Pelodiscus sinensis: one gene and its partner. The protein of the gene in region 1 purifies or fractionates together with the protein of each later gene. This does not show direct contact. Links are inferred from orthologs where the notes say so. Each region holds a gene or a part of one and is shown in the gene's direction. Other genes may lie near its edges.

Region 1 (7,675 bases):
GGATAGAAATGGTATCCCTGGCCTCTGTTTGTCAGAGGCAGGAGAAGGATGACAGGAGACAAATCGCTTGATTATTGTCTTCGGTCCACCCCCTGCAGGGCACCTGGTGCTGGCCACTGTCAGCAGACAGGCTACGGGGCTAGATGGACCTTTGGTCTGACCCAATACGGCCATTCTTATGTTCTTAATCTTTAAGAACAAAATACTCCTGTCAGATTCACCGTGAAGCTCTTAGTTTCATATTGTGCATTTATGATACCAACAGAAATTCCCAGGGCAGAATTGGTAGAAAACAGAGAACAGAGCTCTGCAGAACAGAATGGAAATGGTAACTTGTTGAAAAGCATTCATTATTTTATAAACTTCTAGAAAATTTTTTAAAGTATCACTAATAAATGTCTCAGCTGATCTAAGAAAGCAGGCTTAGAGATCAAGTCTCACTTTTGGATGTGTGTTCATAACCAGTACTGGCACTTTGATGTCAATGCAAAAGGTTGCTGCACTAATAGAAGGGCTCTTTGGATTTTGTTCATTGCAAAAAGAACAGGGAATAGTTCTGGTATCCTGATACTATGTTAAAAAAGGACAAGGTTCTAGTCACTGGCACGGGAGTACATATAAGGTCAACACCAATGCCATGTCCTGCACATGAGCTAATGATAAGTACACAATTGCCAATTCTGCAATCCTAGAGGTTCAAAATCTCACACTTTCTTCAAGGGAAGTTGTGTGTAAATAATGTAGTATTGGAATAGTAAAGGCTTTGAGGAAACCGTTGAAATTGAGTTAGTAACATGTATACAGGTAGTCCCCGGGTTACGTACAAGATAGGGACTGTAGGTTTGTTCTTAAGTTGAATCTGTATGTAAGTCGGAACTGGCGTCCAGATTCAGCCGCTGCTGAAACTGACCAGCGGCTGACTACAGGAAGCCCGAAGCAGAGTTGCTCTGCCCCGGGCTTCCTGGAATCAGCCTCTGATCAGTTTCAACAGGCTGAATCTGGATGCCAGTTCCATACAGATTCAACTTAAGAAACCCAGGCGTCCCCAAGTCAGCTGCTGCTGAAACTGATCAGCGGCTGATTCCAGGAAGCCCGGGGCAGAGCAACACTGCCTCGGGCTTCCTGTAGTCAGCGCTGGTCAGTTTCAGCAGCGTCTGACTTGGGGACGCCTGGGGCAGAGCAGCTGCGGTGCTGCTGGGTTGCTCCAGTAGTGCCGCTCCTCGGCGCTACTGGACCAACCCAGCAGCACCCCTGCTGCTCTGCCCCAGGCGTCCTGATTCAGCCGCTGCTGAAACTGACCAGCAGCGGCTGAATCAGGACGCCTGGGGCAGAGCAGTGGGGGTGCTGCTGGGTTGGTCCAGTAGCACCCAGAGCGGCGCTGCGGTACCAACCGGCAGCGCCCCAGCTGCTCTACCACAGGCGTCCGGAGAAAAGCCTGGTCTGCTGGGAGGGGGGGGGCGTACTAGCTGCGCCCCCTCCCCCCCCCCCCCAGCAGACCAGGGAGATGCGGGCGGCGGACTGAGACGCACCGCGGTCCCGCCACCCGGGTCCTCTGCGGCTTTGCTCCGCGTCTCCCTGGTCTGCTGGAGACCAGCAGACCAGGGAGACGGGGAGCAAAGCCGGGGAGCAAAGCCGGGGAGCACGCGGGCAGCGGACAGCCCAGACGCGCCGCGGCTGTCCCGCTGCCGGCGTCCTCAGAGGCTTTGCTCCCCGTCTCCCTGGTCTGCTGGTCTCCAGCACACCAGGGAGACGCGGAGCAAACCCCGTTCGTAACTGCAGATCTGACATAAGTCGGATCCGCGTACGGGGACTGCCTGTAATGAAAATTAGTTGTGTGTGTATTTAAATATACAAGTAAAAATTATGCATTTTTGTGAATTTTTTTTAATTAACTGATATACAGTTTTGGCTCCTAAAGAGAACACAGTTGTGGATTTCCAAAGTAAGTGTCCCACAATTAGTTTTGAGCCCAACTTCTGATCTATGATTACAAAGCTCACTGAGTTATGTACTTGTTTGCAGACAAAAATTTCCATTTATGTTCATGAACACTTCAACAGCTCAGCATTCATAAGAAATCCTAAAATAACAAGTCACCAAATGTACCTAATAGAGGAAATATTTTTATATTTGCACAGAAACAGATTTCAGTTCTTTTCAGTTCAAGATTTCAGTTCTTTTCAGTTCAGTGTCTTGAAAATTGAGAGAATTAAGAACATTATTTTACTGTTCTTTTTAATGGAAATTAATCAAAAGTGATTTTAAAAGACTACATGAAATGAATTTTGAAAGTCTATATGAAATACACAAACATCCAAAGTTAAGGATATAATTCCATCCTTAACTACGGGTGCCTAAATATTTCAGCATTTAAAAGTAAATGGGTATGACCACAATACCACATGTGCTGCAAGACCAAGACACAAGAGGATGAATTGCAGATTGACTTTTCTAGTATTTACAGATGTACATCAGGCTCTTAACTCTCTTGAAGGTTGTTTGTCATGCCTTAATTCTTCTTTAGTTTGATCATATCCTCCCTTTAGATAAATTCCCATATAATTCATAAAACTGGTAATAGATAATGGCTTCACTCTGGAAGAAATGCTGATGAGCAACTGATTACTCTCTTACCACTGACACCTTTTGTGCATGTATGTCAGGGTGGGGAACGTTTTTTGGGTTGGGGGCTGCTGACCCACAGGAAGATCAGTCGGGGCCGCACACAAGTGGGAAACCCAAAAAACCCCCAAACCCTCACTGACATGGCCCCTGACTGAGAAGGACAAAGACACTCCTCACATTCCCTTCACATACCAGAGCCTAGTGGAGCCCAGGTAGTAGATTTGGTGTGCTTCAGTCCTTCAGTAGGCACAGGCTCCCCAGTGCTAGGAGGGGAACCCTCAGTGTCAGGGGCCGGATCTAGGCAAGCCAGGGGCCGGCATCCAGACCCTGGGCCTGAGGTTCCCCATCCCTGCTATTTGTGTTCTCCATTATAATTTACAAACGGGCCATATTAGACCTTTATTCCTTAGTTCCACTGCACTGACTAGACAAACTCCTGGATAGCGAGAATTTCTAAGGCAGAGCAAACATGACATAAAATATGCAGCGGAACTAGAAATTACAGGTACTAAGTAAAACAGATCAAGGGCATAGATGCGTTGCTTATTGACATCTCCACACCTCTTCCATTATTTACAGTTATCTACAGGTATCTCACTCCAGGAGGATAGTAGGGGAGTGAGGGCAAGTATGTATCTCCCCACCCTTCTCTTATTTTCTTACAAATACCCATCATAACTTCCAAACTCAGCTTTGGCCTTCAGACAAAACCCAGGCCAGCTGAGTCTTCAGAGAAAATCCTTTCAATGTAAAACATTTGCCTGTTAAACATTATACACGAACAACTACAATTCCTTTTTTTAAAAAAAAAACACCTTTGGAGATAGCTATGAGCACCTTTATTGCCACACTTCAGCATCTCTTTCCATATTTTAAAAGATTAAAATCCTGCAACCATTTGTTAAGGGCTGATATGCTGTCCAAAATGTGCAGATCCCAGCTTACAATTTTGAAATGTATCCCTGGCATTTTGTTCTTTACAAACACGTAAGACAGTGAGCAGTGAATTTTCTATTCTGCGGATCCTTCTCTGGAGCTTTCCTTCTCCCTCTCCCTCTCTTTGCAGTGTTCTGAACACCTTTGCTTTGTTCCACCTCCTCCTCCTCCTCCCTCCAGCTGTCCATCTTCCCAACCCTTGTAAATTCACTAGTTTTCATGATTACTTTAGAATTAAGCCATCTTCCCAGCCACAGCACCATAGAAGGAATATACAAATAACATTTCTTGTCGGTATAAAAGCATGCTTTTTACCTTCTGGATAGTTTGCTGGGTGACCTCCCCTTTGCCTCTCGGGCGAGCAGAAGCAAAGGCAACCGACATGGTGGGTTTTTTTTAAATGTGTCTATAATATATTGCTCCTAGGCTCTAATAATATTGTTATTATCTGGCTGCTATTGCTGTGCAAAGATTCTCCGCAGTGCATGGGGAGGGGAGCCGGCGCAGATGGTACAATCTGTGCCCTGCAACGAGCCAGGGGCACTGCACCAAGAGCCTGCATGCACCACCCTCGCCCTGATGCCTCTGATCCCAATGCAAGGTGGGGAGCCAGCTGCTGAGATTTGGGGAGGAGGGATAAAGCCAACGGAGTGGTCCTCCCCTCCTTCCCCACCTCCCCTTTGATCTGCACATGGTGCATCCCTGCTGCTGGGTTTCCTGTCGCAGGCGAACAGCATCTTTCTGCCTTTGCCAAGAGCGGCCCAGTGCGTCAAAGGCGTAGGCAAAGAAGAGAGCTACGCCAAGCGCGTGTGGAAACAGACACCGTGATACGCTACCGTGCCTACGCTAAATGCGTACGGAAGGCAGGCAACAGCTTGGTACGCCAAAGGCGTAGATAAGCTGCCTGGCGTTCCGGGTGGCCTGCGATTCTCTGGCCCAATGCGTACGTCAGGATGAAGACCCACCTACACATTTGGCGTAAGGGCTGCCTTCGGCGTGCGCTGTGAATGGCAAGGCTCCGGAAGCGGCGCAGGGCGGGGGATGAGTGTGCAGTTCTGAGGGAGGCGGCGGGTTCCGGTGCGTGCAGGTCGCTGGGCCCCGGCAGAGCGGCGGAGCCATGAGCTACGACCGGGCCATCACCGTCTTCTCGCCCGACGGCCACCTCTTCCAGGTGGAGTACGCGCAGGAGGCGGTGAAGAAGGGCTCCACCGCGGTGAGTGAGCGCCGGGCGCGGGCCGCGCGCGCCGCAGGGAATGGCCGCCGCTCCTGAGGCGAGGGCGGTGGGGGGAGGGGCCGGAGAGGGAGCTGGGGAGAAGGGGCCGGGGCAGGTGGGGAAGGGCTGGGGCAGGAGGCCTGTGGACGGGTGGGGGAAGGGGCCTGTGGACAGGTGGGCGCGTGCCTGGGGAAGTGGGAGAGGCTGGGGACAGCAGAGGAGGGGCCTGTGGAGAGTTGCTGGGGGGGGGGGGGTACCTGAGGAGGGAGCACCCCTGGCAGTGAGCCAGAACCGACCCCCTTGTCTTGGGAAGACCCCACAGCTTAACTGATCATGTGATGAAGTGGGTTTTGCCCATAAAAGCTCACGACTCTGTATATTTTGATTAGTCTCTGAGGTGACACAGAACTAGAATCCTAGGGATGGAAGAGACCTCTAAGGACGGAGATTCCACCACTTCCACCACTTCCATAGGCAACCCTTTCCAGTGCTTCACCATCCTCTAGTGAAATAGTTTTTTCCTAATATCCAGCCTAGACCTCCTCTACTGTAACTTGAGACCATTGCTCCTTGTTCTCACTATTGAGAACAGCCTCTCTTCATTCTCTTTGGAACCTCCTGTCAGAAAGGTGAAGGCTGCTATCAAATTCCCCCTCAATCGTCTCTTCTGCAGGCTACACAAACCCAAATCCCTCAGCCTCTCCTCGTAGGTGATGTGGTCCAGCCCCCAAATCATGTTGATTGGCCTCCCCTGGACCCTCTCCAATGTGCCCACATCCTTTCTATAGTGGGGGGCTATTCGTTTTTAAAGTTACAGATTAACACAGCTACACCTCTATGGTATTAGAAGATAGCTCCCTACCTCTAAGACCAAAAATGTAAAATGTAATAGCCATTCTAGGTCAGAGCAATGGTCCATGTAGGCTAGTGTCTTGTCTTCTGACTGTGGCCAATGAGATGCTTCAGAGTGAATGAACAGATAATCCTCATGTGATCCATATTTTGGCACCCATTCCCAGTTTCCTGCAAACAAAGGGTAGGGACACTTTAGAGCATGGTCTCATTAATTGTTTCTGTGCTGCTCACTTGCCATGGGGCTTGCAGCATACAACTTTATATCCCTGACTCCATTTCCTTATTTCTAAGATGGAGATAATACCTACTTTCAAGTAGCATAGACAGTCATTGTAAAATCGGGAGAATCCAAATTTGTGGTGATATCTGTTTACAAACTGGAAATTATAGAAAAGAGATATTTCTAAAATTTCTTCTAAAATGAGTCCCAAATGTGTTTGATTTTGCCTCGGTGCATAATAGTAACCTATACAGTAATATATGTTTGGCATTTTACAGGTGCATTAAAAATTTGGGCTTTTTTGGAAAAGTAGATAATCTGCATTTAAAAAATTATTTGATGCCAAACCTATTTTAAATACACTAGGGCTCTTCTTGAATAGTTGTAGTTGGCAGTAATATGGCTATAAACTTGTAGATAATTAAAAGTCATTGAGGCAAATGGGATGTGGAGAAATGAGTTCTAACAGTTCCTGCATTGTCTTTTTGGCTACACACAATTTTCTGCAAAACTAAATGGGGGGGGGGGGGAGGAGATTACATCTGGGGAAGGAGGTGTGTTTAAAATTTTTCAGGGTGACAGAAGTAGAAAAAAATTGATGACCTGATTCACCAGAGACCTGAAACTTGTGGAGCTATTTCACTTCACAAAATGCAGGGCAGTAGTGACTTAAGTGTAAAATGTCCCCTCTGAGTGTACAGAAGTGAGTGTTTACTTACTTAATAAAAACTTTAAAAACAACATATAGTCTGGTAGCTCTTTAAAGACTAATAAAATGAGCTTTTGTGGGCACAGACCACTTCTTCAGATGGCTGTGCCCACACAAGCTCATGATATCATCTACATGTTTTGTTAGTCTTTAAAGTACTACCAGACTATTTGTTGTTTTTTTTTAAGTTTTTCCTGTTACAGACTAACTCGGCTACCCCTCTGAAGTTAATTACTTAATGTAGTTTTTCCAACTTTGTGGGTTATTGTTTAACAAATGACAATGCTGAAAAACTGCATCTCTTTTTAACTCCCCAGTAACATAACAGCTGGAAAATCTTGATCACTTTCTAAAATATTTGCCTTTGGGATAACCATAACAAATTTCAAACCCAAGGGAGAATTTTAAAAAGTAATGAGAATGTGGAAGTGTCTAATGTAATCTTGGCTAATATGGTAAGTTGGAACAACTGCTGGAACATCATAAATCAAACTGCCAAGGAAGAACCACATTTTCCAGTCCTATATATGAAAAGCAGTGGGACTATGATTTTTTTTAAAGCTGTTTTCTTAACTTCAGGAAAGGCGAGGTGAGGGAAGGAGTGTATAGGATGATCTGAAAGTTGATATTCAGAGGAAGCAATGAATGGGTGGGCTACATTTATGCTTAGGACTATGGACTATTAAACAGTTTGATTTGGCTTTGACTTAGTACCATAATAAGTATTCAGCTTGGAATTAAGTTTAAAGTTCAACTATGTTACAAGCACTAATATATGCCTAGAGAGAATTATTCTGTGGCATACTTATGATAAAGCCCCGCACTTGCTGGTATATGTGCCTGTTTTTATACTTCCTGGTATGTAGGTGGTCTTATCAGTAAACTAGGGAAATACAGTAGTCTCATCTACGTTGTAAGATGGATGCATAACAGCTTGGATAACTATTCTCAGAATAGTTATGTTGGAAGGGCACACCAAGTGGGGGTTTGCAGGGATCAGTTGAAATGTCCAGATGATACCAAGCTGGGAGATGTTGCAAGTGCTTTGGAAAATAGGATCATATTTTAAAATGATCTGGACAAACTGGAGAAATGGTCTGAAGTAAATAGGATGAAG
Region 2 (7,005 bases), on another chromosome or scaffold:
TGACAAGAAGGGGTGATGATAAGGTATCAAGTCTCCCAGTTCTGTCTTGTTCAGAGATTTTCCATGGAACTCTGTTGCCCTCTGGAGGTTTATTAATGCACTCGCAGCACTATGACTAGCAGTTAACTTCATTTAAAGTCAGTTAAACTTTTCATGCAAAAACAATTCAGAACACTAAGTCTTTACAAATGTTTGGACAGGTGATCCAAAATTCAGAATCTTTGTTGTCAAGGGTGGTTTGTGTGGTAGAAGGGTAAGATGTGAGGGGGAAATTGAAATAAAGGTTTGGGAGACACTTAGCATTATATAATTTAGTATTACACTGGATATTCTTTAAGAAATCATATTTTTAGGGATGTATCTAGGCCAAAAATATTACTCTGGGATGAGCAAAGGTCAAGAATTTTGGAAAAACAAAAACAAACTAAAGTTTTTAAGATGGTTATTACAGATGTATTAACTTTTTAATATTTCTTTTCTTTTCTTTTCTTTTCTTTTCTTTTCTTTTCTTTTCTTTTCTTTTCTTTTCTTTTCTTTTCTTTTCTTTTCTTTTCTTTTCTTTTCTTTTCTTTTCTCAACATCAAGGCTACATCTACACTGGCAGCTTCTTCCGGATGAACAGCCATTCTTCCACAAAAACTTGATGGCTGTCTACACTGCACGAGTGTTCTTCCAGAAGTAAATTTACAGTATAGCGTTGTAAAACAGGGCTTCTTCTGGAAGAGTTATTCCTCTCCCCACGAGGAATAAGCCCTCTTGCGCAAGAGCTCGTCCAGAAGAGGGCAATGTAGACAGGCAACATGAATTTCTTGTGCAAGAAGCCCCTATGGTTAAAATGGACATCAGAGCTTTCTTGCGGAAGAGAGCGTCTACACTGGCATGGATGCTCTTGCGCAAAAGCACATCTCTTGCGCAAAAGCACATGCCAGTGCAGACGCTCTCTTCTGGAAGAGTTTTTGCACAAGAACTCTTCCGCAAAAGAGTTTTTCCGGAAGAAGCTGCCAGTGTAGACGTAGCCCGAATGAATGGCTGTCTTCTGTCATGAAATCTGTGTGTGGTAGCTGTCAATCAATAAAAACACTCCCATTCTTACATAGTGCTTTTCATCAGTAGATCTCAAAGCCCTTTACAAAAATTAAATCGTATATCCCCATTTTGCAGATGAAGAAACCAAGGTACAAAGTGTTGAAGTAAGTTGCCCAAGGTCATCTATCAGGCCTAAAAAAAGACCCAGTCCAGTGCTGTATCCTTTAGCAAAATGCAGGACAATGTAGCACTTTAAAGACTAACAAGATGGTTTATTAGATGATGAGCTTTCATGGGCCAGACCCACTTCCTCAGATCAAATAGTGGAAGAAAATAGTCACAACCATATATACCAAAGGATACAATTAAAAAAATGAACACACATGAAAAGGACAAATCACATTTCAGAACAGGAGGGGGATGCGGGGGGGGGGGGGGAGGAAGGAAGGTAAGTGTCTGTGAATTGATGATATTAGAAGTGGGGAGAGGGGATGTTTGTGAGCTAATGGTATTAGAGGTGATAATTGGGGAAGCTATCTTGGTAATGGGTAAGGTAGTTTGAGTGTTTGTTCATTCCTTCTCGGAGAGTGTCGAATTTTAACATGAATGACAGTTCAGAGGATTCCCTTTCAAGTGCAGATGTAAAAGGTCTTTGTAGCAGAATGCAGGTGGTTAAGTCATTGAGAGAGTGTCCTTTCTGGTTAAAATAGCAAGAAACTGTTTTTTCTTTGTGATCTTGTATCCTTTAGGATATTCTGCCACTCTGTACAAGCTACTTTACAGTTTTGATTGAAACATGAATTAGGGCACATGAAGAAAAATGTGGGACTACTGAAAAGGATGTAACTGTTTGCATTATAGGTTCATACACTGACCCTTAAGTACTATGATATTACAAATAAATTACAATAATATTAGCCATGCTGTCCACCATAACAAACGAAAAGGCAAGATTTATCCAATTTGCAGCCTGATCCTTCACTCTGCCCAGCATCATATATATCAAAATATTCCCGAAGAGTTTAATGGCCAAAAGAAAGTCCCCACCATCCAGCATGATCTCAATGACTCATTCAAGTCTACAGGAAACAGTCAAGGATGAAAACACTATGGAGCATGCATCTTACAACCAAAATTCCCTTCCACTCAAATGTGACAAGCCAGGTTTTGAGTTCTCTCTTGTTTGCCAATTTTAATCATACCTTTAAAATTTTAGGTGCCTTTAAAATTTGAGAGAAAAGCCTGGGATGCTCAGAACCCTATGTGGAAACAGGAAATCCAGCCATTGCCAAATTGCTCTGCTCTGCTTTGAGGCTAAGATTCACCTTATCCCAACCTCCATCTCTCCACAAAGACCTTCACATTCTGGTCACAGATGGGAAGCTGTGATTCTTTGGAGACAGAGGATGAGTCTTCTGCAGCATGAACTTTGCTCTAGCTGGTGAATAGATGGAAAAAACACAAGAGAACAATTAAAGAATTTAAATCATGCAGAAGATGGCACAAAAGGAAGTCAAGGCCATTTCAGAATGCCCTTGGAGTTTATACAGCCAATACTTTAGAGATGTTTAAATGACTAGGAACATCAGCATTTCAAGAGTTGGGTCAGGGCAACTATGCCAGTTTGCCAGGCTAGAAAGCAGGCTCTGACAGTTCCTATCACACTTCTAGGCTATGTCTACACTCGCGGCTTCTTGCGCAAGAAGTCGCCAGTGTAGACAAAGCCTTAGAGGGAATGCTTTCAATACTAAAAACTGAAAAGGCGCTATGCCTATTTTGCAGAGGGATTGAGTCTGTTGACTTAATAGAGACCTCTTCCTTCTCACCACCCTCTCTCATACGGATTGGGCAAGAGCCAGAGATGGGTCTGTCAGGTTTGCGAGGGTTCCTCCCATTTGCTGAATACGGAGAGGTCTACCATGCTGTGTTGGTTTTGGGGGAGCAAGGAAGGAGCTGACTGGAAAGGGGCTGACCTAGTTCAGTGTATGTGTGGTAGGGATGTGAGGGTATGTTTACACTACCCCGCTAATTCGAACTAGCGGGGTACTGTAGGCATACCACAATTGCAAATGAAGCCCGGGAATTTCAAATCCCGGGCTTCATTTGCAATTGCGGTATGACTACATTACCCCGCTAGTTCGAATTAGTGGGGTAGTGTAGACATACCCTAAGAGTTTAACTGGTTAACCAATAAGGTGATGCTTATCTGTTCCTGTTAACAGTTAAACTCTGCTAGGGAGCATAGGGCTGACAGCCCATGAGGCTGGCAGCCAGTAGTGCTGAGGGCCAGCAAAGGTGAATCCATGGGGCTGGAAGTCCTCAAGACCAGTGGGGCAGGGAGCCCATGGGGCCAGTCGCCGAAGACTATGGAGTCAGAAGCCTGTGGAGCCAGCAGCCAGGAGCCTTCCAGCACCCTTCCTTCCCTACATCCCCAGGTAAAATGTTTAACTGTACAATCAATAGAATTTTGATTGGTTACATGGTTACTATGTTTTTATATCCCTAGTGTGTGGAGGGTTGTAGTGGTATGAAGTGTGTTGAGTTTGAAAGGGGCATTTCCCACTCAGTGAGGCCAGGGAGAATGGGGTAAGCTGGATATAGGGGGAACTTCCCCAGTGTGTGATTCTGAGGGAACCTGGAGGGTATGCGGAGTGCAGGGGTCTCCCATTCTATGGGGATAGCAGGCGTGTGGGAAGTAGGGTGTGGAGGGGAATTTCCTTCTCTGCAAGGTTGGGAGAGATAAATGTGGGAGACAGGGTGAGCTGGGTGCATGGAGATCTTCCCCACTCTGTGGGGCCAGAGAGGAATGATACCGGAAGGAACAGGGTGCAGGGCTAGGATCCCCACAGGGTAGGGCCAGGCCTGGAGGGGGGGCATCCCATGCTCATTGTGGCCAGGATGCAGGAGGGACTGGACAGGATACTGGGAGCTCCCTGCTCAGAAGGGCCCAGATGCAGGAGGAGTTCCCCGCTTGGTGGGGCTAGAGCCGTGCAGGGGTGGACACCCAGCGTGGTAACGCCAGCGGGGGGGCGCCTTGCCTGGAGAGGCTTGGGAAAAGGGGGCATCTCTACTAGGTGAGGCCAGGAGGTTGTGGGGATACGGTGGGAACAGAAGGGGGGGCGGGCTTCCCCGTGGGGCCCGCGGACGTGCAGGGAGAACTCCCCGCTCTGAGGGTGCAGAGGAGGCTCCCGGCTCAGTGGAGCCTGAGGGGTGCAGGGACGGAGGCGGGGGCGCCGGGTTTCCCCTGGGCCCGGAGGGAGCGCGGGGGGCGGGGACGCCCATGCGGGGCGGGCTCAGTGACTCGGCGGCGGCGCAGAGCGGACGCGGCGGGCAGGAGCGCGGAGGACGCGGCGGCATTGCCGGGTGAGGCCGGGCGGACAGGCCCTGCTCTCGCTCGCCCCCTTCTCCCGGGCTGGTCTCGCCTACCTGCCGGCCGCGCTATAGCGCCCGGCTTCCTGGGCCCGGCTCCCGCTGCCGGCGAGCCCCTGCGGGCGGGGGGCTGCAGCGGGGTGGGCTCGTGGCGTGACTCTGAGCCTGCCCGTGCCCTGCTGCGTGGGTTTATGGGGGGGGGGGGGGGATCCGAGGGCTGCCAACTTTGCCGACCGGGCACCTTTTGCAGCAATGGCGTCCGGTCCGTTCGGTCGGGAAAGTTGGCAACCGAAAGCCGGGCCTAATCTGAAGTTGGGATCTTGTTTGCTCCCCTGACGGTAAGGCCGTGGCCAACTGGGGGCGTGCAATGAGTGTGAGGGGCGCTAAGTGATCCACCAAAGTCCTCCCCCTGGATTTAGTTTGTAGGGGAAGATACAAATATTGGGTTACAAAATGGGAATCGCTGACTTGGGAATGCCAGATGCCAACTCAGGGGTGCCCTTAAGTACAAGACAGATGGTTCTACTAGCCCCGTTTTATCCCAATCCTCGACATTTGGGCTGGGAAGTTGGGCAAAATGGTTCTGGATTTGGGTCCTCTGGAGCAAAACCATGCTCTAGTGCAGTGTTTCCCAAATGGTGTTCCGCGGAAGTGAAAATATGGGTTCCGCGAGAAAATTCCATTACAATAACTACTCAGCACTGTGTGCCAGACAGTCAGTGGTGCAGTTGCCTGTTATATATCACGTAAGGGGTTCTGCAAAATTCTTTCGAGTTTAAAAGGGTTCCGTGGCCAAATAACATTGGGAAACACCGCTCTAGTGGGATCCAGGAGACCTGGCCTTTGGGCGTCAGGATGCAGGACTGGTAGGACTGTATAATCTGTTGCATGTGACACAATAACAGTTTCAAGCAGTGTGAAACTATGAATGGCATAAAAGCCTGTAAATAGCAACATGTGTGTGTAGCCTAAGTTACTAAAGAGGGTAATGTCAATTCACTTCTGAGTCAGATACACTCAGACATCACATGTTCATGATTATTTATATACAGCTGCACCAGTTGCTTACATCTATGGGCATATTTATGCCATTAAAACAACACTGATATTTTAAATTTAATTAAAATATTGAGCCTTTTTATGACTCTTAGTTAATGTTTTATATCTAATACTAGTATATTATTTTACTCAGCATTTAAGACGTCTGCCATGGCAGCAAAATCTATTGTGACTTCAAAGCAGAAGGAGGAGGTGGTGAGGGGTATCCTAACAGAGGTGGTATGCACGGCCTTCTCCAACTCCATTCTTGTGGTGGTGACGCAGTATGGGAAGATGGGGACGCTTGTCTCTGTGGACCCCAGCACAGTAGCCAGTGATATCAGCAAACCGTCACTCACCACGAAAGTGCTGCTGGGCACGGATGAGGTATGTGGCCCTGAATATTGAGGGGGAATCTCTCACTGGCTCAGAATTTGAGCCTGCTTGGGCTGCCAAGCAGCTGATGTGCAGTTGTGCAGTGGTAAGATTAAAAAATCCTGTACTAAGAGGGGTGTAGTTCATCAGTACATTTTGGGTATTCATGTTAAAGGTATGTTTAACATAACAAATGTCTAATTAAATCTACACTGAAAGCGTATAAGGGTTCTGTCACTTCATACTCGGTTATTTTTATGGAGCTTTGCCATTCCCATTGACTTCAGTGGTGCTGGAACAAACATAATGGCCTTCACTATCCTTTCTCCAGTGCTTGTCACAGTATTTTTCCCCCATCCGAGCACTTTTTCTCCCCACTTTTACCTCTTCCAAAATCAACTTTGGTACCCCTTCCCTCAACTGTGCTTACCACCAGTTTCCTTAGATAAGACAGTTATCCAATTCATTTTAATTTAAAATGAGTTCTCAATTACTATTTTTCAGAAACAAGAGAAAACAATAATAAATTTTGGATCAGATAGGCACTAAATACAAAGTTACAGTATACTGCAAGTTTACCTAGTTTTACAGTGCTGTAGTAGAACTATCTAGTGTTGCTTGCTAATCCCAAACAGAAAAAAAACCAAACTCAGCAATGTGACAGGTTGCTCATCCTCTTAGCAGCTGGTCTTTGTGTAGCCCTCACCCTTCAATAATAAGCTCTCTTTCCTTCATGTGGGATGTGTCTGCCTGTAGACAGGATGGTTACAGCGTTGGTGTGATGTGCGCTTGTCAACATGGAACAGAAAAGCATATTCAGTTTCTGATACTTATGTTAATCAGTGGCACTTCCTGTTTACATATGGGAGAAATTATTTCCCCAGATCTTGCGTAGGTGTCCATTGTCTGCTTCTTTGTATTATATGTTAATTAATGTAAACAACCTTGAGGAAATACTTCCAGCCCAGCCTTTTTTGGTGATGCATGCTGCCAAAAACCGCAAATCAGTTCTGAAACAAACTCAAACAAAAATAAACTTTAGATCAATATATGTGGCAAGATGGATGTGCCAAAAGGCATATTTTTAGAGAAGCCCTAATTAAAAGGGGTTATATCCCTTCTTTCCTGCTAATGCTTCACTTTTTAAAAAAATTACATTAGTCTATAAAATCACCCTGTAGCTTTAACCATCAGCTA

What was found. The genes of interacting proteins can lie anywhere in the genome.
Region 2: the proteins of PSMA7 (region 1) and PSMG3 purify together in Homo sapiens (affinity purification with mass spectrometry; 3 studies listed by BioGRID and IntAct, with this or other methods). This does not show direct contact. The link is inferred for Pelodiscus sinensis from reciprocal best matches to the Homo sapiens genes PSMA7 and PSMG3.

The regions. Positions count from the first base shown.
Region 1 is NC_134728.1:9,376,155-9,383,829, forward strand, and holds the start of PSMA7 (proteasome subunit alpha type-7), read left to right. Parts: upstream 1-4,579; 5' UTR 4,580-4,678; coding exon 4,679-4,774; intron 4,775-7,675. Other genes in the region: SS18L1 (calcium-responsive transactivator), read right to left, coding at 3,877-3,945.
Region 2 is NC_134726.1:27,444,413-27,451,417, reverse strand, and holds the start of PSMG3 (proteasome assembly chaperone 3), read left to right. Parts: upstream 1-3,968; 5' UTR 3,969-4,100; intron 4,101-4,274; exon of another isoform or gene 4,275-4,389; intron 4,390-4,599; exon of another isoform or gene 4,600-4,733; intron 4,734-5,587; 5' UTR 5,588-5,604; coding exon 5,605-5,820; intron 5,821-7,005. UniProt on the Homo sapiens protein: Chaperone protein which promotes assembly of the 20S proteasome. May cooperate with PSMG1-PSMG2 heterodimers to orchestrate the correct assembly of proteasomes.